3 linked regions of the Coturnix japonica genome follow. The protein of the gene in region 1 purifies or fractionates together with the protein of each later gene. This does not show direct contact. Links are inferred from orthologs where the notes say so. Each region holds a gene or a part of one and is shown in the gene's direction. Other genes may lie near its edges.

Region 1 (4,336 bases):
CTGCGGGTCAGGCCCTACATCCCCATTTCCACGCGTACTCGCTTATCCATGTGGGGCAGGTCCCGTTGTTCTCATCATTTACATCCAGATAAGAGATTTGTTTCCAGCTCTGCAGACAGATGCAGACAGCGCAGCCCACATGGGCTCCGACGCTCCGCACACGGCGCTCCCCGATCCATGCGGACACAGATCCCCCAGCGGACGCCCCGCATCAGCGCTCCTTCCCGTCGCCCACCCGCACTGGAGGCACAGCGAACGAGCCGCTCCCCCTCACCGCGTTCTGCGGCTTCGGAGCGGTGCCCGGCTTCGCTCCATCCCCATCCCCGCAGCACCGCGCGGCCCCGGCCCCCTTACCAGAGCGCGATCCTGCTCTTGGGGTAGCGCAGCCGCTCCACGCAGCCGAGGAAGTGCGGCAGCGCGCTGGCCGCGTTGCGGGCGATGATGGCCAGCAGCACGGTGGGCTTCTGCAGAGCCGACTCGGGCAGGGGCTGCGGCTGCAGCTCGGGGTCCGACGGCGGCGGCGGCGGCGGCTCGGGGGGCAGGCTGGTCCCACAGCCGAGCAGCAGAAGCAGCAGGAGGAGGAGGAGAGCGGGATGGAGGGCGCGGGGCGCCGTGCACACAGCCATGATAGGCGCGGGGCCGCGGGGAGGGGCAGCGGCGGCCCGGCGCCCCGCAGCCTGCCCTATAGCTGCCCTATAGCTGCCCTATGGGCAGCGCGGATCCCCCGGCTCCGCTCGGCGCGGCTCGGCCCGCCCCCACGGGCTGCAGGGCGGAGCCGGCGACGGGCAGGTGGAGGCGGGGCGGATAGTTCGATACGCCTCGTGTGGCTGCAGCGCACCTGCGGCTTTAATGCCTGTCCCAACAGCCAACCTGCGCCTGTGGGACGGCGATAAGGTCTCCCCCGCTCTCCTATCACGACTTCAGTAAAGGGTCTCCAGGTACGCTGCGATCGGAGAACCTCCTACAGTCCATAAGCATCCACCGGAGCAATTAAGGAGGACGTGTTCCTGTTTCCCCTCCGTGACATCTTTCTAATTGTCCCTCTAGAACGATGTGCTAACGAGGCTTTCCTTTCACGCTGCATTGGCCACATGTCGCTGTTCCGCTCAGCTTCATTAACCACACGGAAGGAGCAGTGCTGGCATCCACACCAAGGGATCAGGGCCCCGAAGGAGCCGGGCACACACGGTGCTGCCGCAGACCCCTCACTGGTGGCAGATGCGCTGTGTGTGACACACAAGGCTGGCACCCAGCGCTTCCCAATGCACTGAGCCACGGCTGCTCCAGCTGTACCACGTTGTTTCCTAAGCCAGGACCCTCTTCCACACGCACAGGGTCCAAACCCATCCAATTTAACCTTCTGTTTCTCGCTCAGCCCTGGTGTTTCCCCTTTGCAGTGCCGCCATCTGGCTGCTCCCAGCTCTGCCTTGAGTGCACCCTCAGCCAGCTTGATGACGCCCAGCAGAGCGGTGCAGTCGATGCAACAAGACGAAGGGATGCCGTCCAGAGGGACAGGCTGGAGCAGTGGGTCCGCGTGAACCTAATGAGGGTCAACACGGCACTGGAGCAATCCCAGATACGTGTGCGGACTGGGAGGAGAACTCTCCGCACAGAATGACTCGGGCTATAACAGCACACTATTTAGTTTTGCCTTCGTTTGCCTCCTCCTTCCTACACCCCTCAGTGTCGCTCCCCCCGCAGCCGTCAGGGAACAGCGTGGAGGCGGAACTACAAGGGCGGGCAGCGCTGCGTTGTGCCGCCCGGAGCTCGGCCGTGTTGCACCGGGGGAGCATGGAGGAGCCATGCGGGGCGGCGGAGGGCGGCTCGGGAGCCAAGAGGAGCCGGGCGGGGGGCAGCGGTGACGATGCTGCTGATGGTGGAGACTGGATGGCCGCGCACCCCACGGTACGGGGCGGGGGCGGGTCGGGCTGCCCGCTGTGCGGGGATGGAGGCGGAGGGAGCTTCCTCTGACCGATGCTGCCTTCTGGCTTTCAGTTCACAGCGATGATGTCCCTCGATATATCCAACAGCTCTCAGATCTATGCTGCTTTCCTGGTGTACCTGGACCTCCTGGAAGGTAATTGAATGAATGGACTGGATGAGCATAGCAAAAATGCATTCACATGTACTCAGGTTTTATGACAGCAGAGCCATTCCTAGTAAAGTCCTTGGCAGTGGTTTTCAAACTAGATGCAGTGATCGTTCCATAAGTAACGCTGTGTTTTGGCACTGCAGATTCCCATCACATATCTGTAAGAGCCTTTGCAAAGGTTAGGGCTTGCCTTCATCTGCTGGCATGGCTGCAGTGCCAGGAGAGGAGCAGGGGAAGAAAGAATGAGGCAGAAAGGAGAGGGTACAAGCTCAGGGGTTGTTGTGGCAATAGAATGCTCTTCTGTGTGTTAATATTAAGGCTTCTAAATCACAGCAGCTCCCTCAGAGTCCAGATTAGGAACTGGCAGAAGTGCCCTGGCGTCATTGGGATGCTGGTGGCTGGAAAGGTCAAGGATATCTGTAGGAAAGAAGGGTGCCTGGTGGCAATAATTATGGCAAGCTTTGTGTAGTCTTTTGGAGCTTTACAAGAGTGGAATAGAGTTATGTGACAATGAACAGTGTCTTTTATAGTTAGGGCAGTGAGGCACTGACACAGGTTGCCCAAGATGTGGTGGGTGCCCCATCCATGGAGACTTTCAAGGCCTGGCTGGACCAGGCTCTGAGCACCTTATGAATCTGTGCATGTCCCTGTTCATTGCAGAGGAGTTGGACCAGGTGACCTCCAAAGGTCCTTTCCAACTCTAAGGATTCTATGATTCTAAAGCTCTGCAAACTCTCCCAAACTGGCTTAATTGAAAAGGAGGGCAGGCAGTGTAATAAATGTTCCATAGGAGCACTCAAAAAGGGAACTTAGCGTTTGCATGGGCTGTTTGTCTCTCCTGGGAAATGTTCTGTGAGGAGAAGGAGGGAAACAACCAAAAATGTTAAACAAAATTTGAAACCTAATATTTGAATGAATGAAACTTGTGTTTTGTGTCCTGATCCTTCTCATCGACAACTGACCTTTTTAGGGAGAAGCTGGCATGAAGTGAAGCACGTTGGATTAGCAGAACTGCAGCTTGTATGCTTACATGCCCGTGAAAAAGAGCAGGCTGATCTCCAAGTGATGGTGCCAATACCTGCGGACGTGTTAGTGAGCCATGAGAGGTGAGGCTGTGCTCAGTGTTTGGATCCCATTGCCCATAGGTTAAAAAGAAGACTAGATGAGAGGCTTTCAACTGGAGGTGCCTCATACTTGCTGAGAATCTAACGCACAACTATCCTTTGAGCTGTGATCTCGACACAGCATGTTTTAGATACGCTATGTTTTTTGCTTAGGCTTCAGGAGTGACAAATCAGTCTTTAGCAACAAACTTCCATCTTAATTCTGTGCTTTCCTAAGAGTGTATCATCAGAAGCAATTTGTGAGGGGGAAGAGAATGGCTCAGCAGATTGATGGATTCAAGTGCTATCTAGTTACTGAAGAGTCTTCCATTGGCAAACAGTGGTCATTTCTTGTGGGCTCGGTTTCATAAATACAGTGTGATAGAGCAGATCTGCTTACAGGACTTGCAGGATGGTAAACTGAGCAGCAAGTTGCAATATGGGGCCTTTGAGAAATTGCTCCTGTGTGCTGAGTTACTGTGTTTATTTAACGTAGTAGGTTTCCACCTACGTTGGAAACTTTGATTCCTAGGAATTGAGTCAAAGCCAGCAAGTACGTTCTAATTAGTTTTTAATGACAGGGAGATGATGTGCTGTGTGTACGTCCTATCTGGTACTGTTTCACTGGGGCTTTTCACTTGGAGCCTCTGGACTTGTTTGTTTTGTGGTGATGCTGTTTGCTCTGCTGCTGGCATCAGTGTGCATGGAATCTGTTACTGGAAGGATGTGAGTTAGAGGAGCAAAGAGTGAATGCATCACATTGATTGAAAGTACAGTTTGTGACTAGGTTTTGCTATAGAGCAAGTGCAGAGAGCACATTGTCACTAAAGTGAGCCAAATGTTGGGCTTTAATGCCAGGTGAGTTCATTAAAGCCTGTATATGCTTGATACAAGCATGTACTGTCTTCCTGCTTGACAACAGCTTTAGGAATTTCAGGTCTGAATACAAGTAAATGCAGTTCACTTAACATTAAAGCAGAAGCCATTGGAGGTGGTTGGGAAGGTGAAAATAGTCTGTCCTCATTCCTGGGCCCTGAAGGTTTGTGCTATCTGCATAAGCTGCTAGTAGTTGGCAGTGTTTAGGTCAGTATTTCCTTGCTCAAATAGTAAGCCTGGGCACGAGCTGCACGGGTGGTTTTCT
Region 2 (4,177 bases), on another chromosome or scaffold:
AGATAGGCAGCTTGAAGGACTGCTGCAGTCTGTGTGAAAAGCACAGTGAGAAAAGCAGAGAATTGACGCAGTACTGAAACTCATGTCACAGTTGTGCTTGTGATCAATTCACACAAGTGGCATACTGACTGCCCACCTTATTTACTTCTACCTCCTGAGCTATCAACAGATATCAACTTTGGCTGTGCTTGCAGGGTTCACTCCCTGGCTCAGCCTCATCAGTTTCCCCATTTCCACTATCCTCATCCCCACTGTAGTGGAATTCTAGGGTCACAGCCTAAATCAGTGAGTGAGCTACAAGAGTACATGAGTACCTGGAGCAGAAGGGGGAGGTCTGGAACCACCCTGCTTCCATGCAATCTGAGTCTGCGTGGGGTCCCCCCTTCCTCCCGCCCCTTTTCTCCGCTGCAGTTTGACTATACGAACTGGAAGGGTCACATTCTTCAACTTGTCCCTTTCTCCAAGCTGTTACTGGGAGGAGTGAGTTAATTCCTTTTGGTGCCTTTTTCTATAGCACCTATTTCTCAAATAAAGGATCTGTCATTGCCTTCATTTGCCCTTCACCCACTTTCAAACTCTGAACATACAGCAATAAAATCTAATCCTGCCTTCCCCACTGTTGCAGCCCTAAGGGTAAGCTGGAATTGAGGTCCCTAAGCCATGCCAGATAGCAGGTTAGTGACATCCTTCCCCCAAAACTGATTGCCACCTGAACCTTCTATACAGCTAAACTGGCCCATGACAGCTGGGTAACCAAGACGGAGAGCAGGCATGTTCTGCCAGGTGGGAAGAGGTGACTCACTGGCCCTTAGCATAGGGTTGGAATCCGACTAATAGTGTTTTATCAGTCCTCCCTGGTTGCTAATTGAACAAATTTCATTCAACAGACTCACTAGTGGGAGACAAGCCACATAAGTTCAGGTTGTTCCCCATCCACTTGTTTCACATTATTCCAGATTGTTCCAGAGGAGTTCTGGCCCATTCTGGACAGTTGTGGGTTGTTCTGGAAGGTTCCAGAGCATTCCAGAGGCTCCCAGCCAGTTCTGGAGGATTGCAGGCACTTCCAGACGGTTCTGGGTGGCCCTACAGCAACTGTGATGCCCACGATAATGAGGTGGAAGGAGGCGCATTTTTATCTTTTTTTCTCACCATCTGAGTTTATTGAAATTCAGCTACATTTCCGAGGTTATTAGTTAGCGATGTCCCAGTCTTTAACGACCCATCATCTTTCCCAGCTGTTTTTCTGCTCATTTCACGTACAGCTCCATGAACACCGACGGCGACCGGCTGCCCCGCCCCGCCGGGCTCCTGCTCCCGGCTCCCTGCGCCCTCCGAGCCGCCAGGGGGCGCGCGAGGCTCTCATAGCGCTCCGCCGGCGCTGGGGCGTCCCGTGTTGAGCGGCGATGGAGTCGGGCTGTTCGCGGCACCCGAGGTGAAGGGCAGGGAGGGTGGGAGACTTAAAAGGGCGGCTCTGACGGCTGAGGTGGAGATGGGAGCGGTGAAGTTGATGGTTTAGTGGCAGCGGTTGTGCTTGGTTTGGCGCTGCTGTGCTCTTACCGCTTCCCTCCTTCCCTGCAGGCGGAATAGGGCCCCTCGGCGCTCCTGCGGGCAGAAGGAGCTGGTGCCCGACGGCTCAGCCGAGCAGGCCGAGCGGCTGCGGGTGTGTTTGGAGGAGCAGCGGCAGCAGCTGGCTGAGGAGCGTGTGGAACGGCCGTAAGTGTCTGCGCCCAGAGCTTGGGTCCCAGCGGCAGTGGGGGCGTAGCCGGCTTGGATGGGCCCGCACAGCCCCTTGGTGCGGCCGGGTGGGCCTGCAGGCTGCGTGCTGGTGGTGCTGCAGTGCAGGCATCGCTCGGAGCTCCTTATGCTGCATCAGTTCTGGTGGTTTCTGCTGTACTCTGGAAATCGTGGTTTCTTGGGAGCTTTCCTCAGCTGTTTGTCGCTTCTCCACCAGTTGTGTGCTAACAGTTTTCCTGTTATTGCTAAGTGGTAGAAGCCCTTTGCATAAAGATGCACAGGCTTTCAGGGTGGTGGCTTTCAGGCAAGGCGGAGTGCGTTGTTGCCTTCCACTGCATATCTGTAAACATGTGTCTGGAGCAGCAATGGAGGCTCTCAGAATGGAAGGGAGGTTGGAAAGGTTAAGGTTCCTTTCATATAACAGCCATTGACACAGGGAAATTGAGGTACTAAGCATATAGTTGTATCTCCAGCAGCATGCTGCAGTATGGACTGACATTTGGGTGATGCCTGGAGGTGCTCTTAACTAGCGTGTGATGATAAAAATCCTCACCTGGTACTGCTGGATGCAGAGAATAGCAGCTTTCTCAGGCTTTACATTGTAAAAGTACTGCCTGAAGGTTTGCTGTTGTTTAACCTTGTTAAATTGCTAGAATAGGAGTTAATCATGGCTGATTGTAAAACATGCTGGTAACAAAGAAACCCTAATTTTTAACCTTCTCAGGGGGAATCTGGTGAAAGCCGTGTGGAAGCCAGAACAGGGCATTGTGGAGCTGGAGTCCCCTGCGGTGAGTCTGCTGCAGAGTGTACTCAGTACCATCATCTCCTGCTGGCAACTCCTTGTTTTGCTTCTTGAAATGGGAGAGAGCCTGGTTGTCAGCAGTGAACAGCCATAATCCATCACAGGTTTGTGCTTCTGTTGCAGGGGAAGTTCTGGCACACTATGGGATTCTCACAGTGTGGCAAACAGTGTCTACTGCCTGAGGAGGCTCTGTACTTGCTGGAGTGTGTAAGTAGGCTACCTACACATGGATGGGAGCACTGGGCTTTTCATGAATGACTGAGGGAGCTGTAGTAGCTGGATGTTTACCTCCCTTTTGATTCACGTCTAAAGTCAATTGACGTGTGTTGGTTGTTGCTGCAAACTGAGCAGTTGATAAATGACTGATTCCCAAGGTGTTGTCTCTTAGCCTGTTTGCTGATGGCATTGTTGGTTTCCAGGCCATGGGTTTATCTGTTGCATTCGAAAGCAGTCTTTGTGCTGTTGATAGGATGTGTCAATTGAACCAGTAGCCAATTTATCCAACTGGTATTGTCTTTATCCCACTATATATCAGATGTGATGGTAGATATTGGAAAAGTGTCTGGATTATTTGTGTTACTGTTAGTAAAGTAGTAATAACTCTGGGTTTTCTCTTCACAGACAGTTGTTACCAGTGGCATAGGTGCACCAATCTAAAGGGGAGCTTTTTTGCCTTTAATTAGATTCATGGGTATCTAGTAATATTAAGTCTTTATTGCAGTAGCTGGATATTCTTTGCCTTTTGCAGTTCGACAATAGATTTTAAAAAACAAACAAACAAACAAAAAAACCCCTCAGTAATACTTAATCATTTGTTAAGTACAGAGCCCATCCCCAGAAGCAGAGAAGACCATCTGTGTGTTTTTTGTTTGCTTGTTTTTGGAAAAAGAGGTATAGCCTCTGGAGATTAATTGCTATTGCCTGGTGAAATTTATCTCTGGGTCTGAGGCTGTAAATGTTTAAGGAGCCACCAGCTGGTAGTATCTGAAGATGCCTTCAGTTCCCCTTTCTCAGCTCTCTCCATGTTGCTAGTACTAAATGTTTTGTGGCTGTGCTGTGTACTAGATTACTGAGATGATCAAAATTAAAGGGAATTATCTCCCAAAACAATTATATTTCAACAGTTGAGCAGATGCAGTAGTATTAAGGGGTAGTGCTGGGACAGAAGCTGGCAGCTTTGGATAAAAACATCTTACCTCACTGCTAAAACCATAGTGTTGAGGAGGGACTGTATGTAGGAATCCAGGAAGTGCTTGAAAAGGCAAGGATGGTGCTGGGTCCAGCTATTGGGACCCACTGACAAGATGCTGTTATGACCTTGCATAGATTTGTTCCCTGTGATCCTCTAAACATCAGTCTTTATCTCCGCAGGGCTCTCTTCAGCTCTTTTACAAAGACATGATTATGTCAGTCCAGGAAGCCTATGAAATTCTGCTGTCCCAGGAGGTGATGAACCTGCTACGTTACCAGGTGTGTTGGGAGCTTCAGCAGAGGATGAAAGCAGGAAGCCAAGCCCAGCCTTTGCAACATGACCTTTCCCAGGGACAGGGTAGACAGGAAGGGAAGTAGAGTTGTTCTGAGTTTCCCTACTACCACCACCCCCACTTATCTTTTTCTAGATAATTATTCCCTATTTCCCTA
Region 3 (4,034 bases), on another chromosome or scaffold:
CACGGCCATGGCTGCCCTGGAAGGACTGCAGGGACACAGCGTGACTCAACCCAGCGTCCCCTGTGCCACCCTCACCCCCTCCTCCATCACCACCACGCCACCGTGGGGAGGCACTGTCTGCTATGGAGATGCCGTGGGGAGTATGGGCACAGGGACACCTGGCACTGGGGACACCACGGAGGGGACACTGCAGGGGGGATGCTGTGGAGGGGACGCTGTGGAGGGGACAGCATGAAGGGGACTATGCAGAGAGAGGACAGACACCACTGCCCTGGGGGGACTCTCACTGTTTCCCAGGGACACGGCAGAGGGGACGATGGCCACCCCAGGGCCCCGGGGAGGTAACGCGGGCGCAGAGGGGGCACCTTGGAGATGAGCTCCTCGTGCCTGGCCAGGTGTGCACGGCAATGTACGCAGCTGTAGGTGCGGTGGGAGCGCGGTAAGTAGCTGTGGAAGGTCCGGGGAGGCAGACGAGCGGCGGCGGGGACCCGGTGGCGGCGGGCGGGGGGCACGGCGGGCGGCAGCGCCCCGGGGGGTCGCGGGGGTGCGGGGGGCATGGTGCAGCCCCCGCACAGCCGCTCGCAGGGGAAGAAGCAGCGCAGCAGCGTGCTGACAGCCGTCGTCCCCCCGGGTGAGAAGCGGGCGGTGAGGGGGGGCGGCCTGCGAAGGGTTAATGGGGATGGGGTGAGGAGGGGGCAGCGCTGTGCCCCGCAGCACCGCCCTACCCCCCCCACTCCCCCCGTCCCCGGTGCCTCTGAGCTCACCGCCTGCCGTGCTCCCCAATGCCGCTGTCCCCGGTGCCGGGGCGGGGCGGGGGCAGCAGACGGAGGTGGGGGGGAAGGGAGGGGAGAGCCGCGGTACGGGCACTGCATCACGGCGCCGTGACTCACTGCGCGACGTCACCGCACGGCGGCGACACGGCACCGATACGGCACCGACACGGCACCGATATGGCACCGATACGGTACCGACACGGCACAGATACGGCACCGATACGGTACCGATATGGCACCGACACGGCACCGCCAACACGGGCAGAGCTGAGGCCGCTCTGCCGGCTCCGTGCGCTTCCGAGCGGCCCCCGGGGCAGGAGGGGAGCGTGGGTCCCGTTGTGCCCGCGGCACACAGCGGGGCCGGGAGCGGTGAAACGGGGAGAGGCTGCGGGTGCGGCCCCCGATAGGAGCTGTACGGTGAGATACAGGCAGCACCGGGGGGCTGCCCGCAGAACCGGGCCCGGACTGCATCTCCCAGCACGCCCCATCCCGGTGATGGAGCGGGCTGCGCTACCACCTCAGTTCCGTCGCGTCCTGTGACGTAAGACGGCCCTGCTGCAGTCCGGGCTCCGTCCCGTGCTGCCCCGTCCCGTTCCCGGGGTCCAGCCGTGCCGCACTGCGCGGTGCGGTCGGGCCGGGCCATGGCGGATGATGGCGGCGATGAGAAGAAGCAGGTGGCAAAGTTCGAGCTGGAGCGGGAGACCGAGCTGCGCTTCGAAGTGGAGGCCTCGCAGACGGTGCAGATGGAGCTGCTGACCGGCATGGCCGAGGTGTTCGGCACCGAGCTGACCCGCAACAAGAAGTTCACGTTCGATGCCGGTGCCAAGGTGGCCGTGTTCACGTGGCACGGCTGCACCGTGCAGCTCAGCGGGCGCACCGAGGTGGCCTATGTCTCCAAGGACACCCCCATGCTGCTCTACCTCAACACACACACGGCCCTGGAGCAGATGAGGCGGCAGGCGGAGCGCGAGGACGAGCGGGGACCCCGCGTCATGGTGGTGGGCCCCACCGACGTGGGCAAGTCCACCGTGTGCCGCCTGCTGCTCAACTACGCCGTGCGCCTCGGCCGCCGGCCCACCTTCGTGGAGCTGGACGTGGGGCAGGGCTCCGTGTCCATCCCCGGCACCATGGGAGCCCTGTACATCGAGCGGCCGGCTGACGTGGAGGAGGGCTTCTCCCTGCAGGCCCCGCTGGTTTATCACTTTGGCTCCACCACACCCGGCACCAACATCAAGCTGTACAACAAGGTGAGTGTGTGGAGTCCCTGCTGTGTCACCTTGTGCTTGGCCCTGCTTGGAGCTCCAGGGTGTCTTGCCCGCCCCTGTGAGTCAGGGGTTGCCTATTGTATAAAACCGTGGTGCGATGCACCAACAAAAGCACGAAGGGTAAAAAGCTGGTCCAAATCCCCAGCGTCCTTCTCTGTCTGCAGTTTGGTGATGGTTAGGAGCCCCTATTTGGCTGAAGGTTGCCCTCAGCCACACGCTTGCCCTCGTCCTGTCTGTGCAACATTGGGATCAGCTCTGCTGATGTGGTCAAGCAGCCTTTAGTGCACGTAATGCACTTTATGGGCAGCTTCAGCACCAAATGCGGTTGCTGCCCCTCTGGGGCTATTAACTGGGAGGTGGGCAAGGAAGGATTTCAGCTCAAGTGACTGCCTGTGGCCCAGGCATTGCTTCTACCTCTTAGCACTAAATAAACCCACTGAGTGAGTTAGGAGCATTGCCTCTGATTGCTGTATCGCTAAGAATGGGACAGGTCCTCATCACATGGCCTCCAGCTGTGTGGATGCCTTGTGGGAATGGAAACATCCCTCTCAATCCCACATGCTTTATCCTCGTGTCCCAATATCTGCCTGCAGATCACATCCCGCCTGGCTGACGTCTTCAACCAGCGATGTGAAGTGAACCGTCGTGCGTCGGTCAGCGGCTGCGTCATCAACACATGCGGCTGGGTGAAAGGCTCTGGTTACCAGGCGCTGGTTCACGCTGCTTCGGCTTTTGAGGTAGATGTGGTGGTGGTGCTGGACCAGGAGCGGCTCTACAACGAGCTTAAGAGGGACCTGCCCCACTTTGTGCGCACTGTGCTGCTCCCCAAATCCGGTGGGGTGGTGGAGCGCTCCAAGGACTTCAGGCGGGAGTGCCGAGATGATCGCATCAGGGAGTATTTCTATGGCTTCCGGGGCTGCTTCTACCCCCACGCTTTCGATGTCAAGTTCTCTGATGTTAAGATCTACAAGGTGGGGGCTCCCACCATCCCCGACTCCTGCCTGCCGCTGGGCATGTCGCAGGAGGACAACCAGCTGAAGCTGGTGCCGGTGACTCCGGGTCGGGACATGGTGCATCACCTGCTGAGCGTCAGCATGGCCGACAGCCCCGACGACAACATCTCGGAGACCAGCGTGGCCGGCTTCATCGTGGTCACCGGGGTGGACCTGGAGCGCCAGGTGTTCACCGTGCTGTCTCCTGCCCCTCGCCCGCTGCCCAAGAACTTCCTGCTCATTATGGATATCCGCTTCATGGACCTCAAGTAGCTCCAGCAGGGATGGGGCAGGGGGGGACGTGCGGGATGGCCATGTGTGTCCTTGTACCACTTCTCATTGCCCAGCAGCTTCCATGCGCTGTGTTAGTGTGGGCACAGCTGGAGCAGGAGGCCATATGTTGTTTTTATATCCTTTTGTAACATTTGTTATTAAATTCATGTCTCTTTGGCTCTGTGCTGCTTGTTGCCTAGGCTGTAGGATGGAGGGATGGGCCCCTGGGTGCTGATCCCCTCTCCCCCCCGCCCCCCAGTGGCGCATGCGCGTGGCTGCTTCCCTTTTGGCGCATGCGCAGCGCGCTCCCCCGGCTCCTTCCAGTGTGTTCCCAGGCTCCGACCAATGAGGACGCGCTGCCGACGGGGCGGGACACGCATGCGCAGCCGTGACGTGGTGCCCATCCGCCGAGCGCTGCGCTCGCTCCGTGCCCGGTAGCGTTGGGCGCCGCCCGGGCCGCGCCGCAGTGTGGGTGAGTAACGCGGGATCCCCGCACGGCCCGTCCCGCTCTCGTCGCTCCCTTCTCCTCCCCTCATTGCCGGCCGTAGGGCCGCGGAGCCCCGGCCGCGCCGTGCCCCGGTGCCGCCTCCGAGCCCACGCCCGCCGCTTCACGGCTCGGCCGCTCCCGGCCCTGCCCGCCGCTTCCTCCCGGGCCCTGAGCGCTGACCCGGGAGTTGTTCGCGTCCTTCCGTGCGCGGGGCCGCGGAGCAGCGGCGTGTTGTGGGAGCGGC

The links.
Region 2: the proteins of TSEN15 (region 1) and TSEN54 purify together in Homo sapiens (affinity purification with mass spectrometry; 4 studies listed by BioGRID and IntAct, counting the BioPlex papers as one, with this or other methods). This does not show direct contact. The link is inferred for Coturnix japonica from reciprocal best matches to the Homo sapiens genes TSEN15 and TSEN54.
Region 3: the proteins of TSEN15 (region 1) and CLP1 purify together in Homo sapiens (affinity purification with mass spectrometry; 4 studies listed by BioGRID and IntAct, counting the BioPlex papers as one, with this or other methods). This does not show direct contact. The link is inferred for Coturnix japonica from reciprocal best matches to the Homo sapiens genes TSEN15 and CLP1.

The regions. Positions count from the first base shown.
Region 1 is NC_029523.1:7,227,938-7,232,273, forward strand, and holds the start of TSEN15 (tRNA-splicing endonuclease subunit Sen15), read left to right. Parts: upstream 1-1,496; 5' UTR 1,497-1,614; coding exon 1,615-1,905; intron 1,906-1,995; coding exon 1,996-2,077; intron 2,078-3,062; coding exon 3,063-3,198; intron 3,199-4,336. Other genes in the region: COLGALT2 (procollagen galactosyltransferase 2), read right to left, coding at 355-626. UniProt on the Homo sapiens protein: Non-catalytic subunit of the tRNA-splicing endonuclease complex, a complex responsible for identification and cleavage of the splice sites in pre-tRNA. It cleaves pre-tRNA at the 5' and 3' splice sites to release the intron.
Region 2 is NC_029533.1:9,501,522-9,505,698, forward strand, and holds the start of TSEN54 (tRNA-splicing endonuclease subunit Sen54), read left to right. Parts: upstream 1-1,325; 5' UTR 1,326-1,403; coding exon 1,404-1,432; intron 1,433-1,468; exon of another isoform or gene 1,469-1,483; intron 1,484-1,578; coding exon 1,579-1,713; intron 1,714-2,458; coding exon 2,459-2,522; exon of another isoform or gene 2,523-2,640; coding exon of another isoform or gene 2,641-2,659; coding exon 2,660-2,743; intron 2,744-3,907; coding exon 3,908-4,006; intron 4,007-4,177.
Region 3 is NC_029520.1:7,785,371-7,789,404, forward strand, and holds CLP1 (polyribonucleotide 5'-hydroxyl-kinase Clp1), read left to right. Parts: upstream 1-1,298; 5' UTR 1,299-1,414; coding exon 1,415-2,020; intron 2,021-2,631; coding exon 2,632-3,303; 3' UTR 3,304-3,482; downstream 3,483-4,034. Other genes in the region: YPEL4 (protein yippee-like 4), read right to left, coding at 1-25, 366-872. UniProt on the Homo sapiens protein: Polynucleotide kinase that can phosphorylate the 5'-hydroxyl groups of double-stranded RNA (dsRNA), single-stranded RNA (ssRNA), double-stranded DNA (dsDNA) and double-stranded DNA:RNA hybrids. dsRNA is phosphorylated more efficiently than dsDNA, and the RNA component of a DNA:RNA hybrid is phosphorylated more efficiently than the DNA component.